Linked DNA regions of Caenorhabditis elegans. The protein of the gene in region 1 purifies or fractionates together with the protein of each later gene. This does not show direct contact. Each region holds a gene or a part of one and is shown on either strand. Other genes may lie near its edges.

The links.
Region 2: the proteins of gba-1 (region 1) and gst-6 fractionate together in Caenorhabditis elegans (co-fractionation; one large-scale study listed by BioGRID). This does not show direct contact.
Region 3: the proteins of gba-1 (region 1) and ilys-5 fractionate together in Caenorhabditis elegans (co-fractionation; one large-scale study listed by BioGRID). This does not show direct contact.

What each region holds. Positions count from the first base shown.
Region 1 is NC_003280.10:2,175,043-2,182,818, forward strand, and holds gba-1 (Putative glucosylceramidase 1), read left to right. Parts: upstream 1-1,698; 5' UTR 1,699-1,904; coding exon 1,905-1,959; intron 1,960-2,009; coding exon 2,010-2,092; intron 2,093-2,694; coding exon 2,695-2,800; intron 2,801-2,993; coding exon 2,994-3,146; intron 3,147-3,493; coding exon 3,494-3,627; intron 3,628-3,675; coding exon 3,676-3,748; intron 3,749-4,314; coding exon 4,315-4,411; intron 4,412-4,460; coding exon 4,461-4,701; intron 4,702-5,229; coding exon 5,230-5,361; intron 5,362-5,411; coding exon 5,412-5,498; intron 5,499-5,627; coding exon 5,628-5,791; intron 5,792-6,547; coding exon 6,548-6,674; intron 6,675-6,723; coding exon 6,724-6,843; 3' UTR 6,844-7,468; downstream 7,469-7,776. Other genes in the region: C33C12.7 (AMP-binding_C domain-containing protein), read right to left, coding at 1-32, 81-173, 230-232; gba-2 (Putative glucosylceramidase 2), read right to left, coding at 7,476-7,707. UniProt on the Caenorhabditis elegans protein: Glucosylceramidase that catalyzes the hydrolysis of glucosylceramides into free ceramides and glucose. C.elegans contains specific sphingoid bases, which are unique or different in structure compared to the sphingoid bases found in other animals.
Region 2 is NC_003280.10:4,878,192-4,881,753, forward strand, and holds gst-6 (putative glutathione S-transferase 6), read left to right. Parts: upstream 1-1,699; 5' UTR 1,700-1,724; coding exon 1,725-1,857; intron 1,858-2,306; coding exon 2,307-2,794; 3' UTR 2,795-2,914; downstream 2,915-3,562. UniProt on the Caenorhabditis elegans protein: Conjugation of reduced glutathione to a wide number of exogenous and endogenous hydrophobic electrophiles.
Region 3 is NC_003284.9:6,532,928-6,538,602, reverse strand, and holds ilys-5 (lysozyme), read left to right. Parts: upstream 1-1,762; 5' UTR 1,763-1,825; coding exon 1,826-1,859; intron 1,860-2,491; coding exon 2,492-2,604; exon of another isoform or gene 2,605-3,346; coding exon 3,347-3,463; intron 3,464-4,201; coding exon 4,202-4,258; intron 4,259-4,955; coding exon 4,956-5,054; 3' UTR 5,055-5,113; downstream 5,114-5,675.

The DNA.
Region 1 (7,776 bases):
TCATGATGTGCCGCAATGTTTTCCGAGGCTTCCTGAAAAAATAGTATAAATATAAAATTAGAAAATATAATTCAACTTACATATCCATCCCCAAGAGTGATGATGCCCATATCTTTGGGAGGCTTACCACATGCAGTCTCCATTGCAATATGCACCAACTTCTCGTCGAACACCTTAAAAAATAAGGCTGAGGTTTAGAAACTATTTTCCCCTTCACTCATCAATTTACCATCCTTAAACTCTTTTTGAAAAATTTCGTTGGCTTTTTCAAGAAGGTCAGTATTCGCCATCTTCTTCGAATACGCACATGGAGCTGTAAATTATTCTTGTTTAGGAAAACAAGCCTGAACAAAAAAAAAACAAAAAACTTACCGGAAACCAGAAGGAAAACTCCAACCAGGCAGACGATGGTGTTCATTTTGATAGTTTGAACTGATTGTTTCGGAGGGAAATCGCTTCTTATATAGTGGGGTTTTTTGGTGAGGTGGCAGGGATTTTATGGGGTCACGGGAAACTGATCTGTTTTTCGAATTTTGGAAATTCAAATTTTTTTTTTTTAATTTAAAGTTTCACGCTTATGAATCAAAATTTATTTTAAAAAATTCCATTAGAAAATAAAATATGCGTGAATTTTCTTCATATTTTGAAATGTAAGAGTTTGCCGAATTAGGCCAGCTTGACTCAGCCACTGCCGGGGTAAATTTACGGCGCGTTGTGTGCCGCGTCGCGGCTTGGCTTCCCACGACTTTCCCACGTGTTATCCGGCGGCGATTATCAATGGAGCGCGAAAAAGAAGACCAGAAGGACATAATTTTCAAGCTGCGTTGCGGTCGCGTCGCGGCTCAAATTTCGAAGGCCATCAAATTGGAGAAATTTGCATCCAGTTTTCCAGTTTTAATAGTGCAATTTTTTCAAAATTATTGGATTTTATGACTTCCGACAAGTTTTTCAAAAAGTTTTAAGCATTTAATTTGAAATTATAGTAATTTTCCTCTACGACCCAAATCTCAGCGTCACGGCCCGAGAAGTGGTACCTGTACGCAATTTGTCTACCGTATACCTGGAAGTTTGGGCGCAAGTATCTCAAAAACGGTTGGTCCAGTTTTTTTGTGATGCATATAAAAAATGTCCGAAATTAAATTCTAAATTTTTTGGACCAAAGCTTTTTTCGTTATCACGCGCCCAAACCTGGTCTACACTCAAATTATCAGTAGAGCGCGTTTGCATGGATGTACCACTTGTCGGTCCGTGAGCGTAAAATTCAATGTTTTGGCGGTGTTTGCGTATTTTTGGCGCTACCGTAACCCTCGAATTGTAATTTTTGGAATTTAATGGTTACTGGGCTCACTTCTCATGCTTTTTGGTTTTTTCCCCTGAAAAATCAATAGTTTTCGGGTTTTTTGAGTGAAAATTCAAAATTGTAGAATTTCAGCCAAATTTCTGATTTTTAAGAAAATTGCTCAGATTTTTAAATATGTAATTTGGATTCTCCGTGTTTTTCTTAGTCTACAATAAAAATTTCAGCTCAAATTTCAAAAATCGCGTGAAATTTGGTGTTTGCGTACTTTTGGCGCTACCGTAACCCCTGAATTTTCACAATTGAGCTAGAAAGCTCTAATTTCAGGGGTCCTGCCTGGAATTTTGTGAGCAACTCGAATTTGAACTTGAAATTGTACAAAATCTCGCTTTGCACTCAGATTTTTCTTGCAAAAAAACTTTTGACATCAAAAATTTTACCTAATTATAATCATATTTTGTTCTATGTTCCAAAACTATCGTCACAATTTCCGTAAATTCCACCACGTGTTCTATGAACCGGGTACTGATAAGAAACACTGATAAACTTCATAAAAACGCCAAAACTACGAGACTTTAGTCGTCATTTTGTGCCATTTTTTCACAAAATGAAGTCACGATTTTTATTGAAAATCTTCATATTTTTAGCGGTTTTTGGAGTTGGTAGGTCGAATTTTTCAAGAACTACGACACTCCGAAATCCCGCTTTTCAGATAGTGTCCGGGCAGCTGATTGTACGGAAAAAACATTTAAAACCGGAACAGTATGCGTTTGTAGTCTCGATTCTTGCGATGAGGTGAGATTTGAAAAAAAAAACATTTTTGGAAAAAAAATTGAAAACCAAAATTGTTATGAAAATTTCATATAAATTTTTGAATTCTCCTCGCAATTACCGTTGATTTAACACCAATATCGGCCATATTTCATAAAATTTGAAATTTGAATTAGTTTCCCCTGCGGCGCGGTCGCGTCGCGGTCGGACTTGAAAATTTTAGAATTCTTGTAGAAACCAATGAATCAAGCAAGGATTTTTAGAAACTAAGTAAAATTGATTGAGATTATCCAAAAAGAATCTTTAAAACTGGTTAAAGGGGGTCTATAAAGTTTGACCGCGACGCAGCCGCGACGCATGACCAAAATTCAGTTTTTGTCTGAATATAGCCAATATGGGTGTCAAATCAAAGGAAATTTCACGGGAAACTCGAAAATCCCCATGAAAATGCATTTTAACCAGTCGCTTTTTTTTAATCTAAAATTTTCAAAAAATAAAAAAAGGTAATTTTCCAAAAGAAAATTTTTTCCCTTTTTTTTAATTTTAATTGTTACTTTAAGCCAAATCCGACACTTTCCTGAACCAAAATTTCACGAAAAATTCAAAAAATTGTATAAAAATTCCAGATTCCACCTCTGGACATCACTATGGGTCAGGCGGCACTCTACACCACCTCCCATACCGGCGCCCGGCTCCACAGGGATGTCATCTATGCGACGGATACTGAGCCATGTGAGTTGTGGAATTTTCAGCTGAAACAAGTTTGAAAAAAATTTTCGAAGCTTAAAAAATATTTTTGAAATTTTTTAGTTTTTGAATTTTTTTTTGTTCTTAAAATAAATTTTCCTTGTACCTAAAAAAATGTTCCTTTACTAATTTTTTACAAAAATTCTAATTTTTGAATTGAAAACCCTAAAATTTTCAGTCGGAACCCTGCACATGACAATTGACTCCTCCAAAAAATACCAGACGATCCAAGGATTTGGCTCCACATTTTCCGATGCTTCTGGTGCAAACCTGAAGAGTTTGCCGGACAAATTGTCGGATTTGATTATGAAACAATATTTTTCGGATACAGGTTAGCATTTTTTAAACAGCTTAAGCTGAAACTGGCCAATTGCAAAAAAGTTTAGGTTTTTAGGACCACTGAGAAAAAAGTTACGTCGATAGTTCAGTAGAGCGCAGTTGCAAATTTGGAAATTAAATTTTGAAATTAATTGCAATTGATAGATCACAATTTTCTCTACAGTTTTCTCTCTTACCCCAACTCTCTAGAACCGATTTGAAGAAAGTTATTCCAAAAGTTCAGTGGAGCGCACTTGCAACATCAAACAATTTTCAAATTAAGTATATGTCATTCGCTAGGAAATTTCAAATTCTACAACTTTCAGTATTGCAAGTGCGCTCCATTGAATTTTTTTCCAGGACTTAACCTCCAATTCGGTAGAGTTCCAATAGCCAGCACAGATTTTTCGGGTCGAGTTTACAGTTATAACGATGTCGCAAATGATTATTCAATGCAGAATTTTAATTTGACTAAGGAAGATTTCCAGTGGAAAGTGAGTTTATTTCAACGCAACTTTAAATTTACTCTTAAAAATTTTTAGATCCCATACATCAAAAACGCGCAGAAGTACAATCCGAACTTGAAGTTATTTGCAGCTCCGTGGGCAGCACCAGGTAATGTTTCTCACTAAGATTTTTGAATTTAGCACAAAATTTGCTGAGTTTTAAGCCCCATATTGACTATATTCGGTGCAAGTTGAATTTTTGGCCATGCGGCGCGGTCGCGTCGCGGCCCAGAAAATAAAGTGGAGCGTTAACTGATTAAAAATCAGGGTTTCCTGCTGTTTGGCAGTATTTAAATTTTTCTGTGTTAGATTAAACACAAGTTTGGCGCACTTTTGGTACAAATTTCGAAATTCTAATTCCGGACCGCGACGCGGCCGCACCGCATATCCTAAATTTAAAACTTTTCCAAATATAGTCAATATATCAAAATTCCGCGAATTTTACGGAGAATTCAAAAAATTTAGCTGCAAATCACATAATCGCTTCTAAACACACTTTTGAAAATTCGACCGCGACGCGACCGCAACGCATCTGCCTAATTTTCAAAGTTGTCCGATTATAGTCGAGATTGGTGTCAAATTAACGAAAATTTTGCGCTTAATTCGGAAATTTAAATGCCAACGCTCGAAAATTGTCTGTTTTTCCTAAGAAAAAAATTGTTTCAATAATTTCAGGATGGCTTAAGACTACTAAAGAAATGACAGGACCTGGGGCTCTTAACGGAAAAGCTGGGGATAACTATCATCAGGCATACGCCAAATATTTTGTCAGGTAATTCAACTATTTTCAGACTATATCAGAGTTTTTTTTCGAATTTCAGATTCCTCGAGGAGTACGGAAAATCTGGAATCTCATTCTGGGGACTTTCAACTCAAAACCAGCCAACATTAGGCTCCGATAAGAAGAATAAAATACAATCGACACTTTTCACAGCTGAAACACAACGAGATTTCATAAAAACTGACTTGGGACCAGCCCTGGCTGCTTCAAGTTCTGGAAAAGATGTGAAACTTCTGATTCTGGACGATAATCGAGGAAACTTGCCGAAATGGGCAGATACTGTAAGTTAATGTTGTCAAATTTGGAATCTCCGTACAATTTGCAAAGTTTTGACACCCATATTGACCTATTTTGGATCATTTTGAAATTTTGGACTTGCGGTGCGGTCGCGTCGCGGTCAAATTTTTTCATATCGAGCTGGGGCGAACTGTGACGTCTGGTACGCTTCCAAGACATTATAGATAATAATTTTGCAGCAACCAATTGTTTTTAACAACAATTTCGAGCGTTTTCAAAAATTGGTAGAATTTTTACCGCGACGCAACCGCACCGCATGCCACAAATTTCAAACTTGTCCGAATATAGCCGATATGGGTGTCAAATTTCAGCAAATTTCACGAAAAATTCAAATTTTCATGTTTTGAAAGCCCAAGGCTACGTTAAAACAAGTTTATGAAAACCTGACCGCGACGCGACCGCGCCGCAAGCCCTAAATTTCAAACTTATCCGAATAAAGTCGATATGGGGCTTAAAATTTTGCAAATTTTACGGAGAGTTCGAATTTCATACTCAAAATTCTCAATTTCCAGGTTCTAAACGACATGGACGCCGCAAAGTACGTGGGCGGTATCGGGGTTCACGCATATCAAGACGGAGAAACTGATAATCACTTGGATGAGACTCACAAAAAACATCCAAATTTTTTTATTTTAGGCACTGAGGTAAATTTTAGTTTTTAGGCAGAAAAATAAATTTAGGCCCAAAATTTCAGGCTTCCGAAGGCTACGGGTCCAAGGACACCCACGTGGATTATGGAAATTGGGATCGTGCAGCAGATACTGCTTCAGATATTTTAGATGTAAGAGAAAATATAGTTTTGAAGAAATTTCTAGAAAATTGGGGAAAAGTTCGGAAAAAAAATTTCAAAATTTTAATTTTTTTTTCAAATTTTTTTTTTCATAATTTTTTTTTCTACATTTTTTTCCAGAACATGAACAACTGGATGACTGGCTGGACAGAACGTAACCTAATCCTAGACGCCCTGGGTGGTCCATCATGGGTGTCCGACTACACAGATGCGCCGGTCATTGCGTTCCCAGCGATGGCTCAATTCTACAAGCAGCCCATGTTTTATGCGATTGCACATTTTAGGTAGGTTTCTATTAGTTTCTGCATGAAATAACTAAAATATTAGAATTTGTCGTTAAAATTGGATCTAGAAAATATAAAAATTGAAATTTTTTGGGAAATTTTTGTTGAAAATTTTCTAAAACTGTCTGAAAAGCAGCTTAACACGCAATTTTCCAAGTTTTCAAACAGAAATTCGAATTTCTCGTATAATTTTAGTTTTGAAATCAAAAACTAGAAGTTTCTAGCTCGATTTTGAGATTTCGAGGGTTACTGTAGCTCCAAAAGTACGCAAACACCGACTACAGTACCCCAAAACACCGCATTTCACGCAATTTTCGAATTTTGAACTAAAAATTCACAGATATACTAAGAAAATAGTGGAGAATTTGAATTTGATATTAAAAATGCTGAGAATTGTTTTGGAACCTAACCAAAACGACAAAAACATCTGAATATCGATGAAATTCTGAAATTTTTTGAGTTTTTGAGCTCAAATACGAGTTTCCTGCAAAATTTTAGATTGAGTCTCAAAAACTAGATCTTTCTAGCTCAATTTTGAAAATTCCCGGGTTACTGTAGCTCCAAAAGTACGCAAACACCGACTACGGTACCCCAAAACACCGAACTTGGCGCAATTTTCGAAACTTGAGCTAAAAATTCAGAATCAGACTAATTGAAGTACGGAGAATTTGAATTTCAAACTGTAAATTTTCAGAAAAAATTTCTACCATCTAAAAATTCACGAAAACACTGGATTTCGCAATAACTAATTTTCAGTCACTTCATCAAGCCTGGAGCAGTAAGAATCGACCACTCATTAAATGTAATTGAGCTGGAAGTTGAAACCACCGCATTTTTGAATCCTGATGGCTCAAAAGTTATTGTAATGCTCAATAAGGGCTCGGTTTGTGCTGAAAGTCCAACTTTTCAGCCGAAAATTTCTAAATTTTCAGCTAGTCTCAACGGAGCACACAGTAGTTGTCCAGGATGCTGCTGATAGCCGTAATCACTATCATTTTACACTTCCACATCGAGCTATTACCACTTTGTATATTCAAACTTCACAGTTTTAGTGGATTTTTCGACAAAAATTGCTTATTAAATAAGTTTTCATGTTGATTGTTGGATTTTTCATAAAATTTGCGTCAATTTGACCCCCATATTGACATGTTTTGAAGCAGTTTGAAATTTTGGTGGTTTTTGGGACGCGGCGCGGTCGCGTCGCGGTCCAGACTAAAAAGTCGCTAGATAAAAAGTTTTCCACGTTTTTAGAGGATGTCTGTTCGAATAATTTAAGTTTCAAGCTATTTTGCATCACTTTGACACCTGCAATGCTATGATTTGAGGCAATATAAAACTTAAATTTTTGAAAGCGGCGCGGTCGCGTCGCGGTCGAAAATCGAAAACTCATCTTACCTATAGTTTTAAACTTTTTTATGCATGTTTTCGAATTTTTCTAAAAATTTCCATCCATTTAACACCCATATTGGCATGTATTAAACAATTTTTAAATTTTAGTAGTTTTGGACCGCGATGCGACCGCGCCGCGGGGCTCAAATTTCAAAGTGAACCGATTCTAGTCGATATGGGGCTTAAAATTTCAGAAATTGAATGAATAATTCAAATTTTTACACTAAAAGTTCAGGTTTCAACACGATTTTTTAAATTTTTCAAAAATAAAATTTTAAAAAATTGATATTTTATTCTAATTTTGAATATACAACGTAACAATTGTTTTAGGTGATAAATGAACTTGATAATGATCAGTAGACTTCATAGTATCCTTAATTGATAAACTATATGGTGCCAAAGGATTTTTATTATGGAGCACCACGACTTTTGAGCCATCCGGATTCAAAAATGCACTTCGTTCAATTTCTGGGTTTGGCATGTTCAGTGAATGGTCGATTCGAACTGCTCCGGGCTTCAGAAAATGACTGAAAATTGGAAAATGTGTTGGGAAATTGACGGAGAAAAATTTTTTAAAAAAATTTTTGGAATTTTTT
Region 2 (3,562 bases), 2.7 Mb from region 1:
TCGTCCGTCCGACGATGAAAAACGAAAAAGTGATGGAAAAAGAGAGAAAAGGATTGAAAATGAAAATGAGTGAGACAGAAATGGAATGAGAATAAAAAGTTAATGATATCTGAAAACAAGGTATAGTCATACCAGCAAGAGTAAATTTCCAAAAAAATAGTTTCACAAAAATGTGAATGTTCACTTTTTTGCTATATTCACGATAATAACAATTAATCAAAAATTCTACTAATATCGCAGATTTGAAAAAATTGAATTGCAAAACGGATAAACTTGCCAGCAAAAGTGGAAGCCTCGGTGGTCAACTTAATTTTCTAAACCCACTAAATTGCGTAACTTCAAGCTGCCGTATCTGGAAAAATACAAGTCTTGAGCAAAAATTGCTAACTAACAAAATGATTCAAAATATTTTTACTTTTATTTGCATTACTTTTCACTGCAAAAAACTAATTATTTGCAGAGTTGCACAGAGAATTTTTAGGTCGTTTCAGAGAAGAAATCACTTAAAATGAACATGAAATTCGTAAATAGCGTGTTCTCAGCTTTCTAAAAATATTTTTTTCGACCCAAAAATCGCAATTTCATTTTTCCGCTCATTTTTCGAAAAGCAAAAGTCCCATTTCTTATTTTGGAGCGGAGGACGATTTTGGAGATGAGCCCACATTTTTGAAAGATTTTCTAGGACATTGTAGAAACCTCAAAAAAATGATCATTTTTCAAAATTTCAAGTCGATACGTTGGATATGAAGATTTTTATGACGGAGATTGGATTTTTTCAGAAAACGGTCTATAACTTGGCGGAACATGAAAATATCGAAAAACTTAAAACGGATAAAATGTGGAGAAATATTTTTCACTTACTACTTAACAAAATTTATCTTTTGAAATTCAATGAATATTGAGTTATAAAGGGTACAACAAAAGAGTTCTCAAATTTTTCTTTGAATTTTGGAAAAATGGCTTTGACTCTGTGTAACTCTACAAAAAGTTGTTGATATACAAATTAATGTAATAGAAAGAACAAATGTTTCTGATCATTTTGTTAGTTAAAAATTGTTTTTCAGACTTGTATTTTTCGAGATACGCCAGTTTGAAGATGCTCAGTTTAGCGATTTTAGGAAGTTATTTGGTCCGTTGAGTGTGATGTATACCAAGATTGGAACTTTGAAAATATGAAAGTATAGGAAAAGAAATGCAACTCTAAGGCACTTCAGGTGTGAGCGGCAAATGTTTTTTTACGGCAAAAAAACGGGAAACCGGCAATAACGGTAAACCGGCATTTTGCCGGAAATCAGAAATTACCAAAATTTCAGAATTTCAATTTTAATCGGCGAAATTGTACGCATCCTATAAATGTTCCTAAATCTATTTTAATAAGTAAGCAATTATGTGTTTTTTTCTTAATTTCAGGTCTTTCCAAAAAAGAAATTATCAAGAATTGACATGATATCAAGAAGTAACAGACTGTATATTCCCCATAAAGCTTTAAAATTAATTATCCTCTCAAAGCCTTTTTGATTTCTGAAATCACGGTTGATCATACTATAGTCAATCTTGAAAGTGATCCGAAAAACGCTGTGCTCTCAAGTTTTGGTTTTGTCATCAAATATCTTCAGTCATATATTGAAAAGTAAATAATGATAGTAGAGCACACAAAAAATGATAAGAATAACCCAGTATTTGATGATAATTCACATTCATTTTGTAGGAAAAAATTTCACGAAATGGTTCACTACAAGCTCGTCTACTTCCCATTAAGAGCCCGTGCTGAAATTGCTCGACAAATCTTTGCCTATGCAGGACAGGATTATTCCGAGGAGAATCTGAGCTTTGAACAATGGCCAGCACGCAAAAATAGTGAGTTTATACACTTTTGGCAAAGATAAATGGTTTCAAAACTTGAAAACTACGTTTCATACATTTCGGTATTTGTTTATTTTTTAAATTGTAGATAATTGCAAACAAAAGTTCTCTAACTTTTCACATCCGAACTAGAACAGTATTCCATGATTCAATACTTTAAAAAAATCACTTTGCAAATTGGGATTATGCTTCTGATTGTTTTTTTTATTTCCTGATTTAGGGTGATCAGTCAGAAGTTCAGAAAAAAGGTTGTAGGTACGAGGAAAACTTGATGCTTGAAACTTTTTATGGAATTGTGCTTTCTGACAACATCTTGGACACTGTGGAAAAGTCGCTCCTGGAGATCGAACTAATCCGAAAAATTTTCTAAGACCTTCATACTTTTTTAAAATTAAGATTAGATTTTATTTTAAAACACTTCTCCTCAAATTTCAAATTTCTAGACACTCCATTCGGTCAATTGCCAATTTTGGAAGTCGATGGAAAACCATTGGGACAGTCATATGCAATTGCTCGGTACTTGGCCAGAGAGTTCGGAATTGCTGGACAAAATGACACCGAGGCGGCAGAAGTGGATGCAATTGCTGATCAATTCAAGGATTATCTCAACGATGTCTCCCCATATTTAACAGTTCTTGCTGGATTCAAACCTGGAGACAAGGATCAACTGAGAACTGATGTTTTTGTTCCAGCTTTCAAAAAGAATTTCGAGTTTTTCGAGAACATTCTGGCATCTAATCACAGTGGTTTCTTTGTTGGAAACTCTTTGACATGGGTGGATCTTTTGATTTCGCAGCACGTTCAAGATATTTTGGATAAAGATTTGGCAGTTGTTGAGGAGTTCAAGAAGGTTTTGGCACATCGTAAGAAGGTTCAGAGCATCGACAGAATTCAGAAGTATATTGCAAACCGTCCAGATTACCCATTCTAAATTGAAATGAGTTTGCAATTTTGTATTATTTTTTAATTCATATTTCAAGAAGCAATTTTTTGCTAATTTGTTTTAATGGAAATCGATGTTTCTAAAATATCTTGAATGAATTGTTCTTTTAAAAATTTTATGGTAAAGTTTTCAGCAGGATGTTTCTATAGAAGCTTTTTGCATTGCAAGAGTGTTGAAATATACAGGATATTTACAAAAGCCTGGGAAGTAGGCATGCTTTTAGGTACAAATCAGACCTACACCGCCTTCCTTTGTGGTTTACCATCATAGCTAAAACTTTCCGAACATTCCCTGGTGAGACACAATGTTCAAAGCACAAAACCAATCACGTCATAATGTTAATTTGACTTTTATTGTCAAAAATTACAAAAGCGTCGTTTTCTGGAACATGAACATAATAAGAATTTTCAAATTTCGGTGGGCACAATAAATATGTAATCTTTTATTTATTTTTGGAGGATAGTCTTTTCAAAGGCAGGTGTATAACCCTCAAAAGAAAGCACGTTTGTGTTTCAAAGTGAGACTTAAATTATTTCAAAGACAAATTCCATAGGAAATCATTGTTCATCAGGCACCTTCCCAGAAATTAGGCTGTAGGCAGGCACGTAGGCTGCGGTAAATGCCTACGCCTCTTTTGCGCGAGATTATGAAATTGTGTTGTACTGTCGGAAAAATTTCAGAAACAAAAAAAAATATTTTTTGTGACTTTTTGTGTCAGTTATAGTAGTTTCTTATCATGGTATCTTCAATAATAAT
Region 3 (5,675 bases), on another chromosome or scaffold:
ATAAAAATATTATCATTCCCTTGTTATCTTTTTGTTATTGTGTTGAATAATCAAACAAGATAATTTTCATTTAAGTGTGTGAAGCGTCCGACCAATTCAGAACATTCCTACTATAACCAATGTAACAGTCTATGTATAAAGTCACATGTTACCACACATTTTATGATTTTTACGGAACTAAAGAAGAGTTTTTAGAAACTACTTGGTACATACTTATCAGAATGGTTTGCACGAAGGAAATTGGTCTTGAATTTCAATTTTCTCTGCCGCTTCTTCCAATCTCCCAGCACACCCATGTCTATGAAGCAAAACCAAATTGCGATGGAATCGGAGCAATTTTTGATATCAACTGATAATGTTCATTCGTTTCCGAAAAGTCTTAACGAGGCGAAACCATGCCGATCGCACTATTTACAGATCATATTATAACAAAAACGGTTTGTGTTTCATTATTTGATAGCACAAACTGTAGACAAGGAAATACGCACCTAGTTTGGTTTGCTGGAAGAGCATGACAAAAGAAAACAATTCTCCATAAAAGCGTCTAAAATGTAACAATGAAGATCGAAAAGTAAAAACTTGTGGCAAAGTTCTAGACTGGATAATTGATGCGACAACCAAGTGGTTTTGTTGCGTTTTTAGTCACGATTATTCCAATTCAGGCTCTCAAATGACGTCGTCACACATAATGAATGAATTATGACAAAACAGACTGCACTACTGAAGAGAGCAATGCGGAACGAGGATTCAGTGTGTAAACTAAGGTAAATCCGCGTGAACGTCGTAACTGCTTGGATTTACTGTCTATTCACTCATTAGTGAGTGATATACTTGTATTGAATGAAATTTCCTAAAGCTCCCGTCGTTACGGAATTCACGGTCAATTGAATTTACAAAAACCGTCCGTATTCAAAAACATTATTATAAAATGAATAAAAATTGAATTGTTCGATGTTTGATTGTTTACTGTTTTGGTTTTTGTTTAGATTATTCTACTTGTACTTGAATTGTCCTTTTAACATTTTAGTGAAAATAATCAAGCTTGAATGAGTTTTTTTTCAGTTTCACATGACTTAACCCTTGCACAAAGTTGTTGAGCCGGAAACTAAAGCTTACTCATTAGAAAAATTTACCTACTACCTGATCGTAGTTAGGGTTTTTACAAATAATCTTTGTGTTAAAAGAGAAAAACACGCTTGTTTTGTGAAAAGAATGCTGGTTCGAGATGTATCTGGGGAACTGAAAAACGTCGGTTCAAAAATTAGCTCAATATTATTTTTAATGGAACTTTATAAGAAAAAAACATCATCACATAAATACGAAAATCTAAATATTACCTCATTGAAATTTGAATAACAAAAAAAATGGTCAAAGACACAAATAAATATAATCTTGATCCTATTTCAGAGTATTTCCTCGTCCACCCCCACCAATCAAAAGTATATTAGGAAGCCGCGTTCTTTTTGACCCGAAGATTGGATTATAAGATTAGCAACAGAGGTGTATCCTTTCACGGAAAATTGCAGTCCATTTCAATAATCACAAGATTTCTGATTTGTTGCATTGTGTTGGTTTTCTGGGGAAGGATATACGTTTTTCTAGAACTATCCATGCCACACTTTGATTGGCATTGAAAGTGGCATCAATTGCTCTTTCGCTCTGCGATCACAGAGCTGTAACTCCGCCTCTGACAGTCTTCGGTACAGGTGCTTACGTAGGAATTACCGGGTTTTGAGATAAGGAATTGTGATCAAAGGCACGTGTAAGTTGATATAAAAGAGAGTCCAAAAGTTAGCAAACTCAGACAGCTTGTCCATCAGCCGATATGTTTGTCAAATCGCTTCTGCTCCTTTCTGTCGGTGAGTGTGATAACAAAATTAAAACTGGTTTCAGTGAACAGCAAAATTGTATAAGATCTAGTAAATCACCAGCTCAAAAGAATTAGATCAAAACCAACATGAAATTGGATTTTTAAGGTGCTAATTTAATTTCAATGTTTACATTTTCTTTTTTTTTTAGTTATCAGTTGAAAATGTTTCGATAAGTCTGAACACTGATGCGTTCAATCAATTAAAACAAAACTAGAGAAATTTTTAATTTCCATAAGGCTGGTAATATCTTCTTTTAAAAACAAAGAATGAAACGTCATTTAAAGTTTAATATCGGCTAACCAAAGATTAATCTAGACTCAACTACTCCCATATTTAGTGTTAACTCTTGTTGTTGTTTGCTTGTTTATAAAATTTTATCGGATGAAAGTTCGCTTAATATTAGCTCAAATCATTTCTCGGCTCACGGGACATCTGATTATAGGTTTACAGCTAATAGCACGTTTTGAAAGCTAAATATGTGTTTCACATTTGTAAAAAACAATAGGGAAAAGTAACAACAATTATAGATCGAAGAAATAGGAGAAAAATAAAAATAAATTGAAACTTTAAAAAAAGGCAGAGACAGCGAATAGAACTATTTCGTGATTACGGTATTTCAGCTATTGCGTACGTTTCCGCCGACTGCCTCCACTGCATCTGCATGAGAGAGTCAGGATGCAAACCAATCGGTTGCCACATGGACGTTGGATCCCTCTCCTGCGGATACTATCAGGTAAATCAAGATCAACTAGGGAATATGTGAATCTAGAAATGGAAATAGCAGAATATCAGAACACGTTTTCAATTTTGTCATGAAACCATACAAGATGTTCGGTTGCCTGTTTATTGTTTTGCCATTTAAATAAGGAAACAATAACACTTCAGAAAAATACGTGAAATTCAAAAGCTCATCTTTCATGTCTTCATTAATTGATGGTTTTTGAAATCGGCACGAAATGTTTGTTATGCCTCATTGAACAGATATTTCTTTAATGAAAATCTAGCATAATTGAAACGGTTCATCGGACCACAGCCCCCATATTTTTCACATATCTCTTCTCAAGCGAATCGGAAGTTCCTAATCAGTATGGTAAAATAAATCGCGTTGAATTTTAATTTTGAGTTTTTTCGATAAAAATGTATAACAAGAAACGATGTTTTAAATTGCTAAAACAAAAAAACCACAAAAGAGCAAATGCGTACTTTCCCGAGGAAATGGACAGGAAATGCTTTGAAAATGTTAAAACGGGATTGATTTTTGTATAGGGGAACTTTTGCATTGAAGCTAAGAAGATAAAAGGCATACTAGAAATGAAAACTTTCAAAACCATGTAGACAAGGAAATTGTATGGAACAACAACAAGGATATACAAAAATTGAACTCTACTCTATGTATTCCAGTTTTTTTTAATTTTAAATGTACCAAGACCCAACTATAAAAAGTAAAGAATAAAAATATAATATGTTTCTTTTAGATCAAGATTGGATACTATGAAGACTGCGGACAACCAACAAAGAAGGCTGGAGAGACTACTGAAGCTGCCTGGAAGAGATGTGCTGATGATCTTAACTGCGCTACCACTTGCGTCGAGGTACGTGCAGATTTAGCAACAGGATACATGCAAAAAAAATCATCAAAATTCTTATTTTGGGAAAACGGGTGTTGAGTGGGTGCAACTTTTCATCCTTAAATCGCAAAATTCCGGATAGACTGCGGCTTATTTCAGTCATGGAAGCAATTCTATCCTTTGGGAATCTCGTCATATCATTCTCAAAATTAAAAACTTCGCGACTAAATTTAGTGTACGAATTACGTGGATCGCCCACCTGAGAACTCAAATTTCTACTATCTGCCGCTAATTGAGGCAAATTAATTTAAACGTCATGTAGACAATACTGCGATGAGTAACTTTTCTGCAATTTCAACGGCGGAACTAGAAAAAAAGGAACTAGCTCAAAATAAGTTGCGAGATAATGTCAAAAATCACAGAATTAACCTGTAAACAAAAATGCACACATAGCAAACGAGCCCAGCAAAAAACGTCATTGTTAGCTTCTATGTATGGCTATAGCGGTGGCGACGTTAACGACATCAAAGACAATAAGTACTTATTGTTATCAACACCCCGCTAACAACGTGCTTACCACGCCATAAAAAGTAGCAAAGAAAGATTATGACGGCTTGAAAAGAGGTTAAAGAACTCTAATACGGAATGAATGTTTGCACTCTTCACAAAATTTATTGAATACGTCAAAAATCACATATACAAAAGAGGAAATCTAAAATTTTAAAATCTACATGTTATACAAGCATTTTGAAATAATTTCAGAACTACTACAACCGCTACAAGTCTCAGTGCAATGGACTTGGAATGGGAGCTTGCCAGGTGAGTCGCCTACGCAGTTGTTGTTTTGCTCTGGGCACTTTCAAATTGTGTAGATGAAATACAATTTAAAGTTTTCGAGTGTCTGGTAGTTTGGAGGAGGTTGCCCCCCGATTTTGATTTTTGAATTGATCAGAAGGAAACAAAATATTTCATAAAGTGATGCGAAGTTTTAGGAAAGATACAAAAATTTCCGCGAAAAAGGGGTCAGAGTTTTTTATTTAGAGCAAGAATGCTACTACGCAACTAACTATAAGAGGTTGAAAATTAAATGTCGAACATTTCTATTTTGGGTAGCAGGGGAAAACATTAATATGCCATAGTCACTAGGTAGGTGAAACGACCCTCTGGAATAGAGAAATTATTGCAGACCTGAACAGGTCTGACGTAGAAATGTCTAGAGCATCCAAGTAGTATTCCACCAAAAAATGTACATATACTTCCTGACAATTTTTGGAAAATTCTGACGACAGAAACACTACAATTTTTTCTCGATTCTTTATCTTTTAATCATTTTGGTCACACTTGAGCAGTTTTTTAACATCATTTCATTGAGTGGACATGTGTATTTGACAATTGATAATAGTGGGACTAACAATCAGAAAACTACGTAGCATTTTCAGAAGTATGTTGTTTTGTTCAAGTTAGGACAAAAGACCTTAGATTTCAATCAAGCAAATGGCAATCCATTCAATTTCAGATCATGTCCCGTAACCACAACGGAGGACCACGTGGATGCCACAACGCCAACACCTTGGCTTACTGGAACGGAGTTAAAAGCTGCTGTGGATGCTCTTAATTTTCAATTTTATCAAAATAAGAATATATATGAATCAATAAAGCTTATTTAAAATCAAAGTAGAAAGGATATCAAACTTGTTTATAAGCTTTTCAAAACATAGGTTGCGAAAAAATGCGAACGTTTTGAAAAATAATTGAGTAGGCGAAGAGGTCAGTGGGTTTAAAATGATGTCAGAGTGAACAATTTATGAGAACAAGCATATCGTTTTCTAAATTTGTAAAGGTCTAAGTAGACCACCATCTATGTCATAGGTTGTATCTTAAAATAAGTTGACCCGTTTTATGATCTAGTTTTATATTCTTTTTGCCTCTGGTGAGAATAAACAAGGCTTTCAATTTGTCTGCTCGATGATGCATGATGTTTACGATACTTTCGGATTAAAATAATCGTGAGATGGATTTGCACGAAAAGGTTGCGGAACGAACAGCTCGAATGATATTAAATGATAATCTCGAATTGTCAACAAAGTACATTATGAAGTGATAGGAACTGTTGTTCGCAGACCTGAGATGTTTTGAAAACTTGATTTTAAAACCTACGCAACCGGAAAATTAAAGATCACAAGATTTCTGTGAGGATCATAACGGGTGTAGGTAGCAACTTTATCTCGGTGTTTCC